Linked DNA regions of Alligator mississippiensis. The protein of the gene in region 1 interacts with the protein of each later gene in a pairwise test. Links are inferred from orthologs where the notes say so. Each region holds a gene or a part of one and is shown on either strand. Other genes may lie near its edges. The genes, in order: glutathione S-transferase A4 and C1H2orf50.

The links.
Region 2: the proteins of glutathione S-transferase A4 (region 1) and C1H2orf50 interact in binary tests that used the Homo sapiens proteins (3 or more experiments, as listed by UniProt). The two-hybrid records come from large-scale screens. The link is inferred for Alligator mississippiensis from reciprocal best matches to the Homo sapiens genes GSTA4 and CIMIP5.

The regions. Positions count from the first base shown.
Region 1 is NC_081824.1:47,973,310-47,984,443, reverse strand, and holds the start of glutathione S-transferase A4, read left to right. Parts: upstream 1-6,638; 5' UTR 6,639-6,831; coding exon 6,832-6,870; intron 6,871-8,033; coding exon 8,034-8,138; intron 8,139-9,611; coding exon 9,612-9,663; intron 9,664-11,134. Other genes in the region: glutathione S-transferase 3, read left to right, coding at 1,036-1,182. UniProt on the Homo sapiens protein: Conjugation of reduced glutathione to a wide number of exogenous and endogenous hydrophobic electrophiles. This isozyme has a high catalytic efficiency with 4-hydroxyalkenals such as 4-hydroxynonenal (4-HNE).
Region 2 is NC_081824.1:28,979,595-28,991,114, reverse strand, and holds C1H2orf50 (uncharacterized protein C2orf50 homolog), read left to right. Parts: upstream 1-6,493; 5' UTR 6,494-6,926; coding exon 6,927-7,183; intron 7,184-9,977; coding exon 9,978-10,017; intron 10,018-11,079; coding exon 11,080-11,271; 3' UTR 11,272-11,433; downstream 11,434-11,520.

The DNA.
Region 1 (11,134 bases):
CGTTTGTGTGGCTCACACTGTAATGTGTAACAAGGCCCTTAGCTTAATCTTTAATAGTTGGGTAAAATAAGACATTAGGGCACAAATGTCATCTCAGTCCTTTGAACTGCTTAGGGGGCATCATCTACAGAAAAAATTAGATCAGCAAGCTCACAGTGTTATGGTCAAGGATCTTGTGTTTTTTTCTGATTTAAAAAAATCCCCTATTTTTAGTTTTAAAAAAGTAACCTAAAATCCACATTTTTCCATGATTAAAATGAAAGACCTCCATATATAATATTTTAGATCACTCTCTCTCTCTCTAATATTATGGAACTTGAGAGCTCTGTATTTTAAAACTTCAATTTCCATGCACCTTTTCAATTATTTTTATCTTTAAAATGCAACCAGCTTGGGCAGTATTTTGGAATGAATAATGATTATGCCTCATGAATAATGATTATGCCTCAGGAGCTTTCTCATTTCCATGTTTATCATTTATATGCTTCTATCTCATGTTTAAATCTTATTTACACTCCCAGAATGGGAACAAAGATAGGGCATTTAGTATCATTTTGTTCCAGTGAAATTAATAGCAATAATAAGTCCATGAAGAGTGGTGGTTCACAGCTAGGCTCTTAAAGTCCCATTGTATCTTATTAAATTTGTACCTCATTTCTTGTATCTGCTTAACAGATACAAAGATTGCAGGTGGTGACTTGTCTTTCAGTGTAATGCAACAGCATTTTTTCATGCAATTCAAGGGTAAAAACATCCTTTGCCTGAAATGGTTATACAGAAATGCCATTCTTGCAGGGATTTTCTCATTTGGCTAAACTCCGGGCCTTGTAAATTAAAAAGGATAAGAACCACCTCAGTACATTGGGAGCAGCCGTTTGGAAAACTTAAACAGTCCCTACTAAGGTTAAATTAAAAGCTGGTCATTCAGGTGTTGGTCAAATCAATTGATTTTTACTCACTCATGTAACTTCCCCCTCCCACCCCATCCTCACTTTAGTCCTTTAAATGGCTTTGTGCTGTGTTCTGTCTCTTTAGATGTTTAAAGCAAGAATAAGCAACATGCCCAGAATAAAGAAATTTCTGGAACCTGGAAGCCAAAGGAAACCTATCCCAGATGATAAATATGTGGAGACTGTGAGAAGAGTTCTCCAAATGTATTATAATGTAAAAGCGAGTGTGTAGCTGGTTCAAAAAGCAATGAGAAGCTCAATGCTAGCAAATACTTTCTCTCAAACTCTGTAAGAGAGAAATCTATTAAACTACAGAGATAGTTGCACTGTCCTTGACTGACTAGCTAGTTGAACTGTATCTGACAGCATTGTATGTAACATGCGAGAATTAGTCAAAACTCTCAATTACTAACAGTTTACTGAATATAACCTTTGTTAAATTTCTCTTCCTGTTCTGGGTGCAATGAGCACATGCATGCAGAGTCCATCATCCCCCTCCTTCATCCCAAGGAAACTTAGAAGTTTTTTACCAGCCCAAAGATGTTCTATCAACAAACACCCAGGGTTTGCAATGAAATACAGATAGAGGTCTCAATTGTAAGCTTAAACTTAATATTTTAAGGGTGAATTTAATCATGGGGAAAAATGAGAATAGTTCTAAGAGCCAGAAAGGCAATCCTAGACCTTCCAACCTTTGTGGGACACCAGCATATCAGCTGAAATGATATCAAGTCACGATATTAGCAACACATTTTCTTCCTCTTAATAAACCTTAGTTTAAGATGTGTGAGCTAACATTGCATGAGTGTATCTGTTAATTTTTTTTTTTCTGTGTAATCATTCAATAATTGGAAAGACATTTTTCTAACCAAAAAAAATTCTTTGATTCTTATGTGGTGGTAATGTCTTGAATTTGTTGATCAAAGCTGTCTTGCAGCCTACACATGGAGGCTGCCTTTCTCTTCAGACTGAAAACAGTTTTTGAATTAAGTGAATTTAAGAGCTTAGATAATAAACTGTCCCTACCAGCTCTGGCAAAACAAATTACACGTGTTTCCTAAAGCGAGCCTACTAAGTCTAGGTTGAAACCAAATCTAATTCTGCTGCTACTCTCCCAAAAACAAGGCTTTAGAATAGGAACAGAAGCTAACGTGCATGTCTTGCTCCAAAACGCGTGGTGTTTTCACTCTGGTTTTGCCAAAAAAAAAAAAAGAAGCCAGAGAACAACTTCAAGTATTGCTATAAACTCTCAAGCCAGGTAAAATATACTTATGCTTTGAAAGACTGCTTTTTATGTTGGTATCATGGGGTTCTATATTTGTAACTGTGTCTAAGTATCCTCAGTTCACAAATAAGCCTCCTTTCCACCCGCCTCTCCACCCCACATTGTTCATCTTGTCTAACAGCTGTGGATTAGGAAAAGATGTGCTGCTGTGAAGAAGAGGTGTTTTTCCCTGGCAGTGATACTGGGAGCAAGTACCCTTCCTGTACAGTGCTGGTCAGCATTTAAATAACCTGTTCTCACTAACATGATGGAAGTGTTTTGACTTCATCTTCAAGAGGAGGTGGTTTGGACTCCTCTACCTTGGCTCACTGCTGCCATCTATCTAATACTGGTTGTAACTTCAATTTGGGAAGGGTCTCTTTCTTTTTTTCACTTCTCTTAATAAAAATTTGAACAGCCTGGTATGTCATTTTTTCTCAATTTCTCTGTAGGCTGAACTTTCTCTCTTGTGTATGCAGTTCCTCAGACAGGTGGTTTTGCAGTTTGATGCTGATCTAACCTATCTTCCCAAGACTGGAGTTCCAGGAAATCTAGGAAGATTGACTTGTGTCCTTAGAACTGGAATATTCTGGGATACTTCACCAAATGCCCAAGGTCTGCTGCTGCCTCAGTGGCTCACAGGTTGTCTTTTAGCAATATTTATGAAAAATATTCATGGGAGAATGCAGATTATCATCTGAAAGAAATAAATGTGTTCTGCTGAGAGAAGGGGAGTTGTATACGTGAGGTGTACAGTTTCCTGTCCCCGGCCTTAATCCCCTCCCATGGATGTTTTTCAGGCCTTGAACACATGATCACTTGTAGTGCTACAAAAAGAGTGCTATTTTGTGGTGGATCTGCCTTCTATGTAGTGCTGCAGACAGTGTGAATGTATGCACACTAGCTTTCTGTAGTGCTGTAAGATCATGTATAGTGCTATAAATGTAATATGTGCCCAAGGCTTCAGGACTGAATACGCAGCATCTATTTTGTGTTGCTGTGTTGCCTGTCACAGATGGAGAGGAACAGGAGCTTTTGGAATAATTCTGGGGGATGCAGGAGGAAATGTTGTTGAACTACCATCCCTGAGACCACAGACCATCTGTGCCAACTTCACAGGTGCAGAAAGAAGCTGATGTGTAGGATCATTTGTCGGCTTGGGAATAATGATGAGACAGCAGTACTGTTTCTTTGAGCCACAAGGCTTTTCTGAATACTGCTGTACTTCAGTTTCGTTTTATTCTCCTTTGCAGTCCTAACTGAGCTCACCTGTCCTAAGTATCATTCCAAGGAAAGTTTGCAGGGTCACTCTCCACAAGTTTCAGCCTCCTTGGCTAGGGAATCTTCAGAGTGTAGTGGAAGAGGAGGTGGGGGCAGAGGGGCAAGATGGGAACTGCAGAGCTAGCATTCCCCACTGCAGTGCTGTTCCCACGCAGGCCTGCCAGCTTCTAGTCCCCTCCATTTGGAAGGACCAGTTGATAAAACCCACAATATTTAAATCTAACCTTTTACATAGCCAAGGAGGAGAGCAAGTCCGAAGGTCACTGCTGTTTACAAGTTCTCTAATACCTAATAACTGACCAAAAGCTGACATATGAATCATACTCTAGTGCAGCTCTTTTGTGGTAATTATTAATGGACTTTAGGTAGCCTTGATGATTTTATGACTGTAAAATGAATATATTGCAGTCCTTAGTTTCTGCAACTTTCTAAAGCAAAAGGAAACTTGGCTGGGAGGATGGTCAGTGAAGTACATAGGAGAAAACTGCAAACACATTCAAGTACCTCCAGCTTTCCCTTCAGCAGACTGCAGTGTCTCTCAACACGTTGTCCAATGAGCTACTTTCAGTAAAGTCCTTCTGGTGACAGAAATCTTAGCTTCACTTCTTGTCTCCAGAAGTCCAGAAGTACTCAAATGTTATATGTACTGCTGTGATGCCCCTTGCCAGAAGAAATAGGAGATTGCTGAAATTTTTAGCCGTACTGACTAATCATTTATGTAGCTTGACTCAGGTTCATCAGAACCAATTTAAGAGTAAGTACTAATAAGCATGAGTAATGAGTGTGGATTTGAATACTAAGTAACACGTCTGGGTGCAAACATGATTCTGCTAAGAGCATGCAGTTTGCTTTTTGTTCTTAAGACCACAATCATTCAAATTATTAAGAACTTCCACATGCTAATAGTACTGGCTCATTATAGGCACAAAAGGGACATCTTGCTTCTGCTAACCATAGGGACGCTGTAATAAAAATGCATAACGTCTCATAGGTTGGTAGGCCTCAGGCCCAAGGGACTTTAGTCAAGAGTGTGCCAAAACGTAGTGAAAAATAAGCTTGTCAAAGTAGAGTTTTTGTTGAGGGGGAATAGCCCAAGAGCGGCATGATCCTGTGCAAAAATGACTACATCGGGTTATTTGGAAACAGTGGTGCTTGCAGTGCTTGTGGACAGTCCATTCCTGCTAGTGAGCTGGTCATGAGGGCACAAGCCAACATCTATCATCTGAAGTGTTTTACGTGCTCTACCTGCCGGAATGGCCTGGTCCTAGGAGACCGGTATCACTATATCAATGGCGGTTTATTTTGTGAACATGATAAACCTACAGCTCTTATCAATGGCCATTTGAATTCACTTCAGAGCAATCCACTACTGCCAGACCAGAAGGTCTGCTAAAAGGTCATAGTAATGCAGCATGCGTTCCTTCATCTCAAATTTTGTTCATCACAGATGGATCCCATGTCTCCAGTAGATAAGTCACCTTTGTAGCTAGCATCAATGCCAGCTCCATGCCATTGTACCTTCCTACTATGAAATGTCAGGTCTGGTATTTATGGGCGTGGTATTCTTCCACACCAAACACCATTACCTGAAGCGGGTCATTGATTTGCTGGTATCTAATGGCCAAACCTCCCCCCCACAACAAAAATCCAGATAGCAGGTAAGCTGGTGTTAGGGTTATGGCGGCATTCCCTACTACTAGTTTATCTTGCATAGTTTCTATTATTCATAATTTACAGAGCCCTTTCATAAGAAGCACCTACTACAGTTTGTGAACAATAGATATTACAAGAAGCTTTGCCTTGTGCAAATGCGCGCACACACCCACACACACACACAACTCCCCTAATCTACCCTTTAGCCTCCATGGCCGCATCCACACGAGCAAGCATGTATCTGTTTCAGCATCTCAAACAAATTTTCAATGACACAGGAGGCATGCCACAAACGAAAAAATGTTCCCCATACTGCAACTATGCAGCATAGACTCTGATACCAGTATCAAAAGAAAACACACCAGAAAAAAAGCGGTGCAGGGAGCACTCCTACAGCATGCCTCGAAGCAACTGGAGGTTAGGTCCACCAAAGAGGCATTCTAGCACCTGTAGAGAGCATCTCTATGCCTGCTGCATGCCCCTGCTGCTCCAGCACTGGAGGAAATGGAAGCAGGGCATGGTTGGCAGCAGTGGCTCAGAGCTGGCTGAGATCCACGCTCTGTCCCCAGTAATCAAGGACATGGGGGAACTGTGTGTGGATATAGGGGGACTGTAAAGGTAAGGGGGACTGTGTGGGAGGGGTCCCCCACCTACCCCCCCCCCATGGCACACAGCCTCTACCAGCAGCAGCAGCCAACAGCAGGCCCTTGGGGTCCTCATGGTGTGCTGCCTGCAAAGCCCCCCAGTGACATGCAGCACCACCTGAGACCTGGGGGCTACACATGGAGCTGATCTGACACACACCTTCAAACAACATCTGGTCGGCTCCTGCTGCCAACCAGGGACACCATCAGGAGGCTCTGCCTGCAGCAGGCTATAAGCACCCCGAAAGCCCACTATTGCTGCTGCTGCTGGCAACAGGGGTTGTATGCCATGGGGAGGGGGGTTTACAGATGTGTGGCAGACGCTCTCCACAAACCCTACACTCACCCCCCCCCCCACAATACAACCACAAACCCCCCACCTACAAACCAACCCCCTAACCCCCTTCGGAAGGTAATTTGGCATCAATGCCATAGAACAAGATAACATAGCTCCCTTGAACCAGAGAATTGGTAATACACAACCAAAGAATTAACACCTGCTTCAATGTTGTGCTCAGAAGAGAGGAACTAAAAACTCAAAGGTAAGAAATCTCATATTTTTCATAAGTATCCCTTGTGAAAACAGCTGTCACATCCAGAATATCATTTTACATGGTAACACAGAGACAAGGAAATATCCTTGCAGTCAAACAGAAGCCAAAGCACTGAATTAATTCTTGAATAAAAATGGAAACCCCTCTTCTGTATATGGTATGACTGGAGACTCCTCCCACGGAGAGCAGGTTCCAAAGTCTCATTATTTGAGACAGGTTTCCTTGTTTAAAAAAAGTAAGATCTGGTGCACAGCAAGGACTTGCAGGTTAGTCTTGCAACCCAAAGAAAGCAGATTTCTTTTAATCCCCAGCTGTTTGAAGTTTCTTTTTAGGGAGATTAATAAGAGCATAGTTACTAGAGCTAACATAACTTCTTCCCAGTTTGATAGGTGTTGGGAAACAGTCCGCAGGGAACACAAGTCTGCTGGTAGGGAGCAAAAGGACAGTGGAAGGAGTGAGTGGGTAAAAGTGGGTTGAAACGACAGATGGAATTGACTGAGCTCGAGAGTTCACTGAGAGAACAGGTAGGTGTAGTGGCCAGATCAAAATATGTTGGACCCTTTCCCCGAGGTTAGTACAAGGATAAAGTTTGTATTGGTCCCCCAAAAAAATGTTTCTCATCATTCTGATGACCAGTTTGATGTTTAAAAGTTCATTTTACTAAGGCTTATAAAAAAGTGACTGCACATCCTGGGACTGCAATCTGAGTGCTTATGCATGGTACAGCGTGTTAGCAGGGGTTGCTGAAAAACAAACAGGTAGAGGTGGGTCCAGGTCAGACCTCAGGTACAGTCACCCCTCAAAATTATTTTGGTGGTGGAGGTGAACCTCTCTAGATATGGCAGCATAAGCTGATTCTTTACGCTGGTTCCTGGCAACAGTAAAAATCTTTCAGTGGAAAATCCCACAATAATTTGGTTTTCAGAACAGAATATGTAGAATCTGTGCTTTGCTGTGGTCAAACTGAATAGTGTATGGCAAGTCTTTGTTCTATTTAGAGTTATTTCCAAGAAATGTTTTGGCTCTTTTTATTTATTTCTGTGGACAGTTCTTAGGTTTTAAGTTCTTTTGGGCAAGTACCTTCTCATGTTTTTAAAGCACTTCAGCCTGCCATTGCTACAGTAAAAGAATATATTTTAATAATAGTAGTTGCAACTTGACATAGATATAAACGCAGTGGCCAGTTAATAATAAAAATATAAATAATGTCATTGGAGATCCCTGTTCGTGAAGACAAATTCTCAAAGTTCAATGACTTCATAGCACACGTAGGATCCATCTCTAAAATAATACTCTCAACTTGTAAGTGTGACTAGCACAATATTGTTTTGTTCCCTGTTTGCTTATAATAGTATAAAAGAGGCACTTCCCCCCCTTTTTTTAATATAAGGGTAACTAGAGTTGCAGAGTCTGATCATCCTGAAAGCAGGAGCTGAGAAGAAAAACAAAAGAAGTCATTAAAGTGTTAGGGTGGGGAATTATACAACTTCTGCCTTCTGGTCATTTCTTTAGCTCCCATAATACACACACAGGGCAGAATCCAGTTCAGTGAATTTGAACAATACCCTATCAATTGCAGATCAGCTGACTACCTATTGTAGCCTGTAGTAAAAATGTTACTTTAAATGTGGATTTCCCTGCCTTCACCACTCCCTCAAGCTTTTTCTCCTTTTGTTTTTTTCCCCAGGCAATCAGAACCTCACTCATGGCTGGGAAACCAAAGCTTTATTATTTCAATGGAAGGGGACGAATGGAATCAGTCCGATGGCTGCTGGCAGCTGCTGGGATTGAGGTTGGGTCTTCAGTCCTAAAGAAAACAAATGGCTTCAGACAGAATGTCTGGCTGAATTTATTCCAGAATTTTATTTATTTATTACAGAAAAAGAGCTCTGAGTCTTATGACTATAGAAGACAGGGTAGAAGACACTTCAATTTCTGCTTTGAACACAAGCAGGACTTTTTTTAATGGTCAAATTTAAGTAAATACAGTTACAAAAGTTTAAAACTATAAGCTGAACTGTGTTGTGCCTTTGCATGTCACCTATAGAATTAATGGCAGTTCACACACAAATATAGGAAAGATAGTTGTTGCGGAGTTTAAATTGAGAAAAAGTCATTTTAAAATTGGGTAAAATTTTACCCAAATCTACATTTCTAAAAATGTAGAAATAGATTTTATTTGTTGTTATTAAATATACTGCTTACTGACAGTATATTTAATACTGGATTCCTTCTGTAATTTGGAGTTGGATACTTCAGCAAAACATTTCATATAGCTGCTGTGGTTTGCTCAGAGACTCCCTCTGACACCAGAGAGCAAAAGCTCTTTTTTAGTGCAATTTTATTAGGAAGAATTGAAGGTTTTATAGAGCAGGTGAGAGGTGAACGCTATATTTCTAGAGCTTAAGTTTGGAAACAGAGGCACAAAGAACTCAATAGTTTTGACTAAGAAAAATCTGAAATGGTTTATCATCCCCAGTTGTTTTAAAAATATGCAGCTTCCGCTATCGTAATAGAGCTGAAGGTCTTATCAATGTGTTTATGATTCATGTAGTACCAGCCAGGCATAAGAACTGAGTGTAAGGCTTTTTAAATTTTCTTTCCCTAATCAGAAAGTCATTATCTTGACTTTTGTGTATTTAGCTCATAGCTTAGAAACAGAGGACTGGAACAGAATTGAGCCACTGAGTCCAGTCTTTTGCTGACATAGGCTACCATATTATATAATTCCATTCCAGGGATGGCAAGCTGGTCAATTAACCAGTCAAATATTGTCAGTTGACTGGTCAATCAAGTGCATTTTTGACCAGTCAAAGATTACAGCAATTTTACAAATAAACTACATTTTTTGTAGTTTTCTTGACAGAAATGTGATATTTTATTGTTTTTGACACATTTCTTAATCGAAAATTTGTGCTTTTCCCGTGTATTACTTGGATCTATTGGCAATTTTTTTACAATTTTTGACTGATATTTGACTAGTCACCATTTACTATTACTGCAATGTTTTGTGAGGCTCTACTTAGAATAAAAAATTATAAGGGAAGTTTGACCTGATGAAGATTTGTCAGATATTCTAAACAATACTCCTTTTCACTGTGTACTTCTTCTTGGTGGTCCAGGCCACAAAGCTAGGGAGAGTCAGGGTGACTTCCTTACTTGTCTCATTTGTGAACTGGTGACATGAGGTTTTCTATTTTAACCCTGACCCATAATTCCCAACACATTGTATGTAACCTACCTTTCTATGTTCTTCCATTCCCAGTTTGTAGAAGAGTTTCTGGAAACAAGAGAACAGTATGAAAAGCTACTGCAGGGTAAGGCTACAGTGACTTGGCCAGTTTTCTTTATTTTAGGATTGCTGTAAGTGTATTATATTAGCAAGGTATGTCTAATATTGGTGGACCTAGGATAGCCTATGTCTTGTTCCCAGCTCCTGTAGAGGATAGAAGGGAGGGAGGGATGCAGAGATCAGCAGTTGGAAAGGGAGCATTTGCATTCTGGATACTTCTGGATGTATCATTCTCCTGGGACTAAGTCAACAAGCAGGGTAAGAGCACCCTCATTTAGAACAATCAAGACTTCTTGTAGAAACTAGGTGTGTCTACACGAGATGCTAAACACACAGTAGCGTGCTGGGCAAAAACCCATGCTGATACACTACTACGCAGTAGTATTAGGCTTCTGCACAGTAAGCATCACTAAAAACCTGTGTGCCAGCACTACTGCACAGTAGTGCAAATTATTGTGCATTGATTTAGTACTTGCTTAACCAAGTACTAAACTTAATGCACTGTGTGGCAGTGCACTGGGGGTGCCTGCCACTTGCAACCAGTGGGTTGCGTACGGGGGGTATAGACCCCGGCCCCAGGAAGGGGGCGGTGATAGGTGCAACCAGAGGGTTGCGTGTGGGGTGCATAGACCCCGAGCCCCATTAAGCGGGGAGGTGTGTGGCACTGCACTGTGTGTGCCTGCCACTTGCAACCAGTGGGTTGCGTAGCCCCGGTGTGAGGGGGCGGTAGTGTGAGAGGCCCCAGTGTGAAGGGGGCCAGCGACGAGGAGCCCGAGAGGGGCCGTATATCGAGCCCGGTAGAAGGCCAGCACAACGATAGGCCTCGAGAGGGCAGGGTCCTGCGGTGGTCAGCCCGAAGGGGAGAGTACCCTCAACTGGCCCATGCTGGGGCCAGGACCAGAGAGGGTCAAAAGGGCCAGGGGCCCACCGCAAGGGACGCCCAAGAGCCGGAGGGCTGGGGTCCCGACTGGCCTTGAGGTGGGCCAGGGCAAGAGGCCAAAGGTTCCGGGGGAACCGCACCCGAGAGGGGAACATGGCTTCGGGAGGGCGAGGTAGCCCGGATGACGGCGGAGAGGCCACCTGATAGGAAGGATCAGAGAGGGGTCCTTTTAGGACGACTCTGGGGCCCAGTATGGAGCCGGTGATAGTGTTAACACTGAGATGCCTTCTGCGAGGCTTGGGCTGCGGTATTAGGGGAGGTCGGAGCCGCAGAGCGCCCCTGGCATCGGGGCATTACAATGGGCAGCCTCCCGCTTAATTGACATCGATATACGAATCAATTATCATCAAAGGCGTGGCGGGCGAGATAAGCGGGCGGTTGCCCAGAGACAGGCGGGCGGGCCACGAAGAGCTCGGCCCTGAGTAGGCCTGCTGTCACGGTGACAGGCGGGCGGGCCACAGAGTTCGGCCCCAGGAGGCCCCCTGTCACACACTGTAACCACAGTGCATTAATGAATGTGTAGATGTGCCCACTGTGAACTAGAGCTGACTGGTTA
Region 2 (11,520 bases), about 19 Mb from region 1:
AATGATAGCTGTCACCAGATTTGCCTGTCACTTCCGGCTGCGCTCATTTATTAGGGATACATTTCTAGGGTCTTTGTAATTCTACAACATGCTGCTTGTGTTACTTGTGTTTCTGTATGGAGCTGTATCTCTCCCTTCTGCAAGTCCTCACCCCCAATGGAGCTATCTTGCAGGACTCAGTTTCAATGGGGCTGGGTTCCTCCAGTCACCAAATCAGTCATAGACACAAACACACAGATTAATGTGACATGCCTGACCCGGCTGGGTTGATCAACATGGACAGGCTGACACCCTCATATGCCAGGAATCAGTTCATTAAGGTAACAATAAAATGCAGTCAGACACAAGCACCCAGGTAAACAGAATACCTCTGAATCCAGCTGGGTGTCTATCTGACACCCTCATGGGCCAGCATTCAATTCATAAGGGCACGTCTGAGCCAAACTGGGTCAATCAGCCTGTTCAAGCTGAACCCTTATGTGTTTCAAACTCAGCACATCCCAATCTTTTGCCCTAGCTGTCCTAGTAGTGGTAGCCTCTTGAGCAGACCCCACAGTATTTCTGGGCATCACAGGGATCTTTAGCTTAGGTAAAAGAAGTGTTGCTGCAGAGCAAGTGGGGAAGGAAAGTAGAAGGAAAAATATACCCAGTTACAGCCAGTTTGACTATAAACAGTTATTTATTGCTGCCTATATGAAATGTATAATGGTACTAGTAATAATAGACATGCAAAGGAAAACTATCAAAACAATTATAATACTACCCTGGTTTCACTAAGTATTTGGGGAAACTTAGCTCAAGCTTAACTAATACAATTCAGGTTCAGAAATCTATGCCTAGAGAGAAGAAGAGAAAACAGAGAGAGAGCGAGAACTAGGGTCTCACCAGTCCAAGGCACTCTGGTTCCAATGCTGACAGGTAAAGTTCTTAGCACAATCCTTGAAGGGAAACAATCCGTTTCTTCCAGCTTCTCAAGAACAACAGTGAACGGTGTCAGAGAGATTTCTTCTCTTGAAGCTCACAGGTTGCTGTTTTTACAGATTTTTATACCCTCAGTTCAGCTGCTTCAAAGTATTCTTTTAATTGTGTAAATAATTGTCTTTTCTATTGACAAGGGATTATCTGGTTTGGAACATCTCAAGAAACTGATCAATAAGCAGGAAAAACATAAGTTTTTAAGAAGTAACCAGACACTTAGGAGCCAGCTTGAAATTCTTATGGATAGCAGATATACTGGATGGGATACCTCCTTGTTTCTTCAGAAACAATAGATAGCTGTCAGGGTTTTGTATTTTTACCTGTTGTGAATAAGCCTCAGCTTAGCATGACTTTTCCAGATCTTACTGTAGTCTTTTAACAGACTTAAGGGGATTATTGGAGTGTTCATAAACTTTGTGGGGAGGACTTCCACCAGTCATCCCGGGAAAAATATAACAGCATTTGTGGTCAGGACTCCAATGGTCTGGACACTGTGATAAACCTTTACCATTGTTCAAATGTTGCCCATACCCTCTCTGACTTGGTCTCCTGCCTCAGCATTCCTTAACCTGGCAACCAAGTTTTAGTCAATCAAGTTTAAATAGGCCTCCCATAGTGGGACTGAGGAATGTACGGCCCGAGATGCCTATTAAACTTTACTTCTGCTTAGTTCTGGTTAGATGGTGGGGGAGAAAAAGTCCATTGTAAATCCAGCAAGCTGGGTGCCAGGGCTCCCTCAGGAACACAGAGCTGACAGGTGACACAGCTCATAGTTTTGATTTGATTTGTTTTGACTATAGAAACATAACTGAGCAATATTTCTTTTGCAAAGAACTCAGACCACAACTGGTCAGAGTGTTTTAACACTGTGCTATTTGAAATGGATTTCCTATTTAGATTCCTATAGATTCCTATTCTATAGCACCCTGATTGGGAATCACTGATCTAGAAAAACACTAGAGATAATTGAGTTGGTCTAATAAAAGATATCAGATTTACCCAAAGAACCTTGTCTGCCTAGAGATAATTGAGAATGTACCTGTTTTTTATGATTGTTTTTTTCCAGTGGAAAACATTTATCAATTGAAACCAGGGTTTTTCACACACATGTATGTTCTAGTTTCAGCAGAAAAATTTCTCAAATTTTAATCCTTTAGAGTTCTACAGTCCTAAAATGGAAGTAACTCTACCTTTCTGTCCAGCCCAAATAACCTGGTGGGAAGACGGACTCTCTGGGAAGATGAGAGGTATGAGGGTCACAGGAACTTTCTATGTGAGATCTGTGAGTCCTTACAGTTCTGATATATTCCTCTCCATAGTGTTAGTTTGGGGGGTTGTCCACCTGCAGCAACCCAGAAAACCTTGTCCATGGATGGTCATAGCTCATACCCATGCTCTGTAATTTCTGTTCTTATTAGGTCAAAGGTACTCCTGATCCTAGCAGACCTTAGGACTAAGGCTGACAAATTTCTGTCCCCAGTGGCTCATAAGAAAGTCATGTGGCTAGCATGTCTAGCCACTTCTGACTTCTCAGCCCAAATGACTAAGGTTGAATGAGAAGTCAGTCCTATGAAAGGGAAGGGAAGGGAGGGTTTGCTTTAGTACCCCCTAGCTTCTAGCCTGAGCCACTGCAGGCATGTGCCTGCATTTCCTGAATACAAAGTGAATGTCTAACCACTTGCAAATCAGTTCAATCTATCCAGGTTAGACTAACCTGCAAAGATTGAATCAATTCAGGTTCAGGCTTTTTGAATGTATGTACTTAGCCTTGGGATGTCAAATAAGAGTCTCACCAACTTTGACACAGCTCAGCCTGAACACAAGGATCCAGCACTGCAGTTCTGTATACAGGATCAGAACCTTAGGTTGGAAAGAATTTTTTTTAACTCCATATGCCAGTACCTTCTGACTTTTCACAAAGTGGACTTCATAATAATCTTCATTCCTTCCCTACACCCATAGTCCAAAATCTGTACTGATATTATTTTCCTTCTAGAGTAGAAAAATTAAATGATTTTTTGTATTTTTCAAGTGATTTCCATTAAATATTTTAAAAAATGATGCTTTCTAATTAGTAAGTTCTTACTCTTCCTATAAAATCAGTGCAGGTTCCCTCTTCTCATTCCATCACCATTAGAGGATGAAGGTCCCAGTGACAAATTCACCAACCAAAATGATCTCTATGAAATGCAGATCAGAAATTGCTGCTGGATCAATAAAGCAGATGCTGATTTAAAAAATATATTTCTTCTCACTACTATGTAGTTTAAATGATCATTTTGGAGAAACTTATGTACTAGAAGTAAGACAATGCATGTTACAGTTCATCGGTTTAAGTTCTGCATAACTTAAACGACAATACCCTCTTGTGGTCAAGTTAAAATTACCTGTAGGGAAAAAAATTTTTTTTTTCTTTAGGGAAACAGCAGTTTACATACATTTGATTTTTCCAGTAATATTTCACTGTTCAAATCACCACTTGTTGGATAACTATTAATAAAGAACATAATGTAAAATCTTCCTAGGAATTAATTATACTGCCAGTATCTAGATACAGGACTGCTGAAGGAACCACATGCAACAGACCCCTGAGTCATTTATAAAAATCTCCCCCCTTCCCCAGCCAAAAATACATAGGCACATTAAAATCAGGTCACATTAAAATTCCTAGCACATCAAGCCCCAGCAAACATCAATATAACCCTATAAAGAATGCCATAAAAAGAAACACATGCTATATCAGTCAGTCATCTCCTTCTACAGGAATGTCCACTGCTTAGCAATCATAAACATTACAAAGGCACGTAATAACTGGGAGAAAATAGGGCACTATTTGCAAGTATACCTTTAAGACATCATTTTTGTTAAATGGCACTACTGAATGATTTGGGCATGCAGCAAGAAATTTCAGAACAATATCCAAAACAGGATGCTGAAAATTCACCCTGCTACATATTAATGGTATATAGCTACTTCCTTTTATGACTTCCAAGCCCTGTTCTCCCAGTCCTATACACTGGGCACATCTACATGAGAAGCTGACTGCTCAGTAGCCTGATACTACTGCGCAGTAGCATCATGTAGCAAAAACCGTGCCGAGACACTACTGTGCAGCAGTATTAGGCTACTGCCCATTAGCATCTCTTGTGCAGTAACTCCGGGTACTGTACATTCATTTAGTACTTGCTTATACAAGTACTAAATGAATGCACGGTAACTACTGTGCAGTAGTGTCTCATGCAGACATGCCCACTGCAGTGGCGACGCATAGAGGGTGCACAGGGGTGCATGTGCACCCCCTGAGAGCACCGGTGCACCCCCTGACTGGCCATGCTCACTGCTTAGGCAATAGGCGGGGGGGGCAGGCTGGAGCGCCGGTGCCTTGCTGCAAGATCTGATTGATCACTGCAGCTGCTCCCAGAAGTGGCCACAGCGATCTCCCATGGCCCACTGTGTCCTGAGAAGCAGCATGAATGCTGTAAAACATCTACCCTTCCATGTATAGTCCTGCTCTGCACTGGAGTAAAATTGCAGTCTACTGTTTAAGCCTACTAAGATCTACCTTCTCTTCTCAGTTACTGGGGTCATAATACTACAGACCTTCCTTTGACTTCCGGTTTCTCTTTAGTAACAGGATTCCACAAGGTGCAGAGTTTGAGCATGTGAATCTGTGCAGGATGCCACTTAAATGGGATTCCACAGGTACAGAAGTTTGCATAAGTTTACCCAGATTTGAGACTAGAGTCGCACTTCCACGGAGCACAGCCAAAGGCTGCCTGCTGATATAGAATTAGCAAGGGTTACAGTTTAACAATAACTCCCCCTATGAGTACCATATTGACTTGCATGCTATACACACTATTTCCCCTCAAAATGGGGTGCATATCTTAAGTGGGAAAGCTGATTTTCTGCTCAGAACAGAAGTACCCTGATTTGCTTCCTGCTTCACCTGGCAGCAGCGGTGGCATTTCTGTTCAGGCAGCTCAGGGAGTCAACTGGCTCTGCATCCTACAGGCGTTAATGATTGTCTCTTCTTTTTAATGGTCTTCATGTTTCCCTAATCAAGCTAACCTTTCTTCAGGCAATTTTGCTGTCTTTTAGCTACTCCTGGTCTCTCTTCTTCTGTTTCACAGCCTTGCAGACTGTTTTGATCTCTTTTCAATATCACAGATGTACCCATGGGAACTAGTCTTCAGCAGTAGCTAGGGTTTCAGCTTTGGTTATTCAGGAAATGGAGGGTCAGTGATTTGAAGTTTAGACTCTGTCCCTGGTCTATGGAGCCATAACTCTGAAAAACAAATCTTTTTTTTCTTTATCCTACTGTCATCAAAACAAGATGCATGTCTTATTTGGGGGAGTGCGCTATGCAAAAAAATACAGGGTTGGGTTTTTTTGGGTTTGGGGGTTTTTTTTACTTATTATTAACTCACTGAAGAAATGAGGGTGAAAAAGTCTCGAATGAAGACCAGCTAGCGGCTGACAAACCAGCACTGGGAGAATACATAGGAGTGGCACAAAAATTATACTGAGTTGTCTGAGACTCTATTCTAATATTTCAAATGGAAGTCAATGGTGGTCTGCTAGTGAAACCAAAAAAAAAAGAAAAACTTATTTGGGGTCAACCACAAACCCTTCTTTTTTTGGCTTTTCCCAGGAAAGACAAAGTTGCCAACCAACCCTAAACTTAATTTGACCTGAAATGAAATATTTTGTTTTGCTTTCAGTTTTTTAACCTTTTAAAAAAATTAATCTTTTTGCAAGTTTCAAAACAAGAACATTTAGAAATTAAAAAATCATTTTTTTTAAGTGAAACAATCTGACTTTCTGAAATTGTTCATTTTTTTAACACCATTCACTGAATTAATATTTGTGTATACCATGAGCCCCCCCTTATTTTTCATCCAGTGAAACTATTCACTAGGGGAAATATACAGCGAATTCTTTACCAGGCAAATAAGGCAGGAGGCAGTTGTATGCTTCCAGCTTCCAGTTAAGTGTATTAGCCACAGCATGTCCAGGGACTTTTAGCAGCCACTGTCCTATTTTCTCAAAAAGCTATAAGAAAGTAATATCAGTTCTCCAGAACAGATTATTGATTGTCCAGGGCTGCTACTCAGTTGTTTTCTTTCTTCAGCCTAAAATTAAGAGGCTTTCAAAAGTGTAAAACTAAGGCTGATTCACAGAAGGACCTTATCTTAAAGCAGATTAGGAGTATTGAAGCTGTGATGATCCAGAAAATATTCGAGAAGGGGTTTCTTGGGTAATATCTTTTATTGGACTAGTTAGGAGAGATATTAGAAAAGCATTTAGACACAAAGTGAACTTTCTCAGGTCTGGAAAAGAAGTCCTTGCTTATTTTAAAGAAAAGGCAACTCTGTCTTAAGAAGAGTAGCACAGAGTCAAGATCCCAATAGCTGCTTCCATTAGTTTCTACTCCCTTATCAGTGAATATTCATGAGCAAGCCTGGTTTCCAATGGCAACAGTAAACACACTGGGGAAACCAGCAGTCATCAGGGGGTTTATTTCTGCTGCACAAACAGAACAAAAACCTAAGCCTGACAAACTCAACATCATTCTCTACAGCAGACTTTGCTGCTAGCTCAGCACCTATCCTGGGGACTGGGAAAGCAACATGGAGCGTGGTCTCAACTGCACCCAACGCTGACTGGTCTCTCAAGCTGAGCATTAGGATTTGCTGTTTACAGCCAGGATTTTTATTCTTCTAACAAGTGTTCTTTGCAAAGTTCTTGCTATAGTGAAGCTACTAGTAGAAAGTGCTGCTTAACCAAAGGGGAAATAAAAATAGTACACAGTCACAGTTGGAGCTGTGCTTTTACTTGCCAAGGGTGAGAGGAGAGAAAGCAGCAGGGTGGATGAATCTGGCAAGCATCTCCTCTTAACCTACCTAGTGGTGACACCATCTTACGTGAGAGTAGATACACACACAATGGGGAGCAGATCACCTGGATTCAGAAACACCTCAGCTGGGTACCAGTTATCAGCAACCAAATCATTGGTGGAACTGGCCTCATCCTCATCCTCATCTCCTGCTTTCAGCAGCACCCAGCTTGGAAGAGCTGTTACAGCCACCAAGGCAGCCCGGGCCCGGGAGGAAGAACAAGTAGCCCTGCGGCAGGACCAGGTTCGACAGGACAAAATTTGGAGGGAGTTTGTGGAGGCCGAATGGAGGGGAAGAAAGTGTTGGTAAGTACTTTGAGTCCAACATCACATTCTCCTCTTAACAGTGCTACTGCAGCTCCCCACAGACCAAGGGCCTAATGCAAAGCTCGATATATCAATGGAAAGACTTGCACTACATAGGCTTTTATGAGGCTGTGAATCCAGCTGCTGCTAAGACCACATTTCTCCTCTGTTTTCTTCATTTTTCAAAAACACACAAGTAAAGTATCTCCTGGCATGTCAGGCTGGAGCTGTAATGGAGGTGCAAAGGGACAGCATGCTGGATACTACTCAGCTTTACGTGGAGGTCCACAGAGCCAGGATATGTCGTGACGCATTTGTAATTTATCACAGAGAGTGATATTATTGCATGTCCTCTACTACTTGGAAATGGCTGAAATGGAGCCTGGACAGACTGTCCTGCCAAAAATTACTGTATTTCAAATCCGTAAATCTCTTGCATGCCACAAACCCACATGCAAACATACACACAGGGAAAATCCCATTGTTACGAATACATCAGCAGGGTGTTCAGCACATGCAGGTCATAAACTATGCTTTGACAGGCGGTATACACTGCTGAGTTGAAAGAACCAAGCATTAAGATGCCTCTCAGAATATCTGAATTCAAATCTCTGATGTGCAACATAAACAGGCTGGTTACAAGAATGTCCGTTGTGAAACCAAGATTGGCTTGAGTTGTAATTGTATGCCAGCCTTACCCAGCTACCAGGGAGGAAGGAGAGGAGAAGGCGCTCAGATGGATTCAATAGGAATGAGGAAATACATCTTCTGGTAACTTATCTTACTCCTCAGCTTCTTGGAGTAAGTAAAAACCATGTCAGTATTTCTTTTTTCAGTGACATACTTTTAATTTTTTTGTTATCTCTCCTAGAGGCAGAGCTGAAAGAAATATCACCAGCTGTTCCAGATCCACACCCCCCACCTTCTACATACATATACATGTGTGCACTCATGTACACACACACACAGAACACTTAGGATAAGAGAAGTCCTTTGCCTGCTAGTGGCCTGACAAGAAAACCAGACTGCAAGTGAATGGGTTAAATTGCAGAGGCCCAAGCTTTTCTCTATTGCTAGTACCTCTGGATACAGATATTGTATATATGCCCAGAGCAGTGGAGACCCATAGTTGGGGCCTCTCTCAGTACAGGAATGCAAATACATATCATTATCATTGCTATTATAGTAACTATCATTGTTATTTTATCAATGCCATAATAGCACTTTCCCTCCATAGCTGTTGTAGCACCTTACAGAAAGGTAAACTTTCACTGTCTCCATTTTCAAGATGCAGAAACTCCACACAGTCTGTAAAGGGATGTGCCCAGAGTTATATGGCAAGTTGGTAATGGAGCCAGGGAACAGAATCCGTTTCTTGATTCTCAGTACTAGGCTTGTATCTCTACTGCTGGCTGCATAAAACATTGTTGCAGGTAGTTGCCCTTACTTGCTCATACAGCTTGGTCTAGATCTATATTAGGGGCTTCTGCCAACATAGCTGGGTTGGCCCACACCAAGGAACCCAGGCCAGAAAGACTTCCTGGATCATGGAAACCAGTCCCCAAGTACAGAAACAGGAGCAGAGACCAGGTTCCCGGCCTTCTGCTACTTCAGCTGAGTGGCCAAGCTACTTGGCTACAGAATCATGCTCCAAGAGAACATAAACCTGATAGCTGTGCTGGCAATAACCCCTAGTTACTGTGTAGGCATAGTAATACCACCAATATTACACTTGTACCAGCGTGGCTTTTTCACTTTAGAGAGGATGCTTGGGGGGAGGGGCTGGGCAGGGGAGAGGCAGGTAGAAGAGGAAACACGGTCATAAATTTCAGGGCTTTATTGTAGTGTTTCCAACAACTCTTGCAATGGGATTTTTATCACAAATCTGAAAACCTGGCCCTGACTCAGCATCAGGTAATGTCTATCAAGAGGACACATCAGCACATTGCCTGGCATCACACAAATGCAGCTCTACTGCTTCTGATGCAGGCGGCAACTGTCCCTTAAAAGACCAAATTCCCTCGTCTGCCATGCTGTATTAAGGCATCTACACTAGCTGGCACCAGAAGTGGCAAAGTCTAGTTTCATTGCCTGTCTGTAGAGCATCCAGGACAGTGTCCCATATTTTGCTTCCACAATGTTGCTCACTTCAGATGAGCATGGTATAAGAACTTGAATGATTAGCTTGCAATTAAGTTGAATACAAATTCAAAATCGGATTCATTCTAAGATGAAATTGTAGTTTGGTTCTAAAAAAAGAAGTCTGATTTTATTATAATGGTCAGGTCCTGTGGCTTAGGTAAAAGAACCTGGCATTATGAGAGAAGACAGAGGGAGAGAGAGAGGGGAGGAAACAGCCTCCAAAATATGATCTATACTAAAGGCAAAGACACTATCATCATTATCTATTTCTGTGGAATGAACAGTGTTTCCTCATAACATACAAGTAGAAACTCTTCTTTTTATTATTCAATACACGTACTGTCTCTTACTATGCATTTGTACACTGTGACTGGGGTCTTCCATTAATGCACCCTTCTTTTCAGTAGGACACACACAGGAATGGCAAGCATTTATAGTTAAAAAACTAGCCAATTCTGACACTGCATCTACTCAATTCTCTTTTAGAAAGAAAAAACAAAAAGTAATGGATTGTTTAAAATAAAACTGCAACCAAAAAAGAACAGCGATTCTGTGATACAGCATTCAGTTGATTTACAAAAATAGAACATAAAAAATAAAGTACCTAATAGGATCATGTCACTAAAGTAAAAATCTTGGGTTCTATTTCTAGGTATCAAAATTGGAGTTTCCTGAAGGACTATGACCCATTGGTAAGTTAGAGATAAACTACTAACTGTAACACAAGTTCTCTTTTGGTTTGTAACAGTTTGAAGTAGGCTAGCTTTTTTAATTGAAACACCCTCGAATATAATTTGTCAACTGCTTTAAGATTAAGAGCTGGGAGTAAATATGAGATGTGAAGTGCCAGTCATCTGCTATATTTGTACTAAACAGATTAAATGCAACGTGTGGGTTCTAGTTCTCTTTTAAATAATTAACAAAGCCCATAAGTGGGTAAGCATTTAAAAGGAAGCTGAAACATATAAAAAAAGAGAAAAAATCACTGCCACAATATGGCCACATTCTCTTTTGACTGATAGCCTGTGAAATGCTGAAGTCAATGAATTTTCCTGGAAAGTCTTGCTCCCATGAAAGTCAATGGTAAAAAAATAACACTGATTTCAAATGGGGACTGTAAGTCCTGACTGCAAACAGAATTGTGTATTTTAAGGGGAAGGGGGTGGGGTGGGGAAGGGGGAGGTATTTTTACAAAAGTGCATCCCAATTATTTTGGTCCCAGTCCTTCAGCCCTTCTTACTCCTCACTGGAATAATTGAAACCTCCTTACTGAAGTAATTGGGAAACTGCCTACGTAAAGTCACAGGACTACCCGCCTTTATACTTTAAAATAACGAATGACAACACAATTAACCAGTGGACAATTCAATGAGACAGTTTGAAACTGCCTTCTGATGAAAGCTGTGCATAAAATGCTGGGTACTCAATTTAATATTTAGAAAAACTGTCCTCTCTTTGCTCTGTTGGAGATCATTGTTTGGGATTTTTATTCCTTTCAACAGTAAATACGGGTCAGTCTTCTCAGAAGATGATTGGATTCTCCTTGATTTCAATTAATGATAATTAATTGTACTGCATCTACACAGCATGTTCACATACATTTAGTGAATAAGACATAGGAGAAAATTTCCAAAATTCTTAATAACTTTTCCAAAGTGATTTGGGCACTGCAAAGCTGAAGTCTCTTTTGAAAATGGAAGATACATGTTTTTGAAAACATAATCTGTAACACTCTTTTTATTTATGTTACCTAGGGCAAGAAAAAGGAGCAGAAACCACTGCCAAAATTTGTTTCTGTGTTTTCCGAAACAATCCCCAACACCACCAACCAGGCTATCGGCAGCAGAATGAACACTGAATTGGGCAGGATGCTAGTGAACATGGATTACTTCATCAACAGTGGAGGACGAAAGAAGAAACTTGAAAATGAGCTTCAGCCTTGTTAGTGGTAGAAAGAAAATGCCACCAACATTTTTTTGCAAGAATCCATATTAAGGAATGTAGTAGGTGGAGTAATAATGCATCAAATGTTTCCCAGAAAGACTGGTATCATTGCTCCACATGACATTTTTTCAAGAGTAAAAATGAACCTTGTTCCTGAAAGCCTTTTGAGGAAGTCCTGTTTTCACTTTGGGGGAGAGGTCAAAGCAGATAAACATATGTATTATTAATACTACAGGGCCCAATCTTGTTTC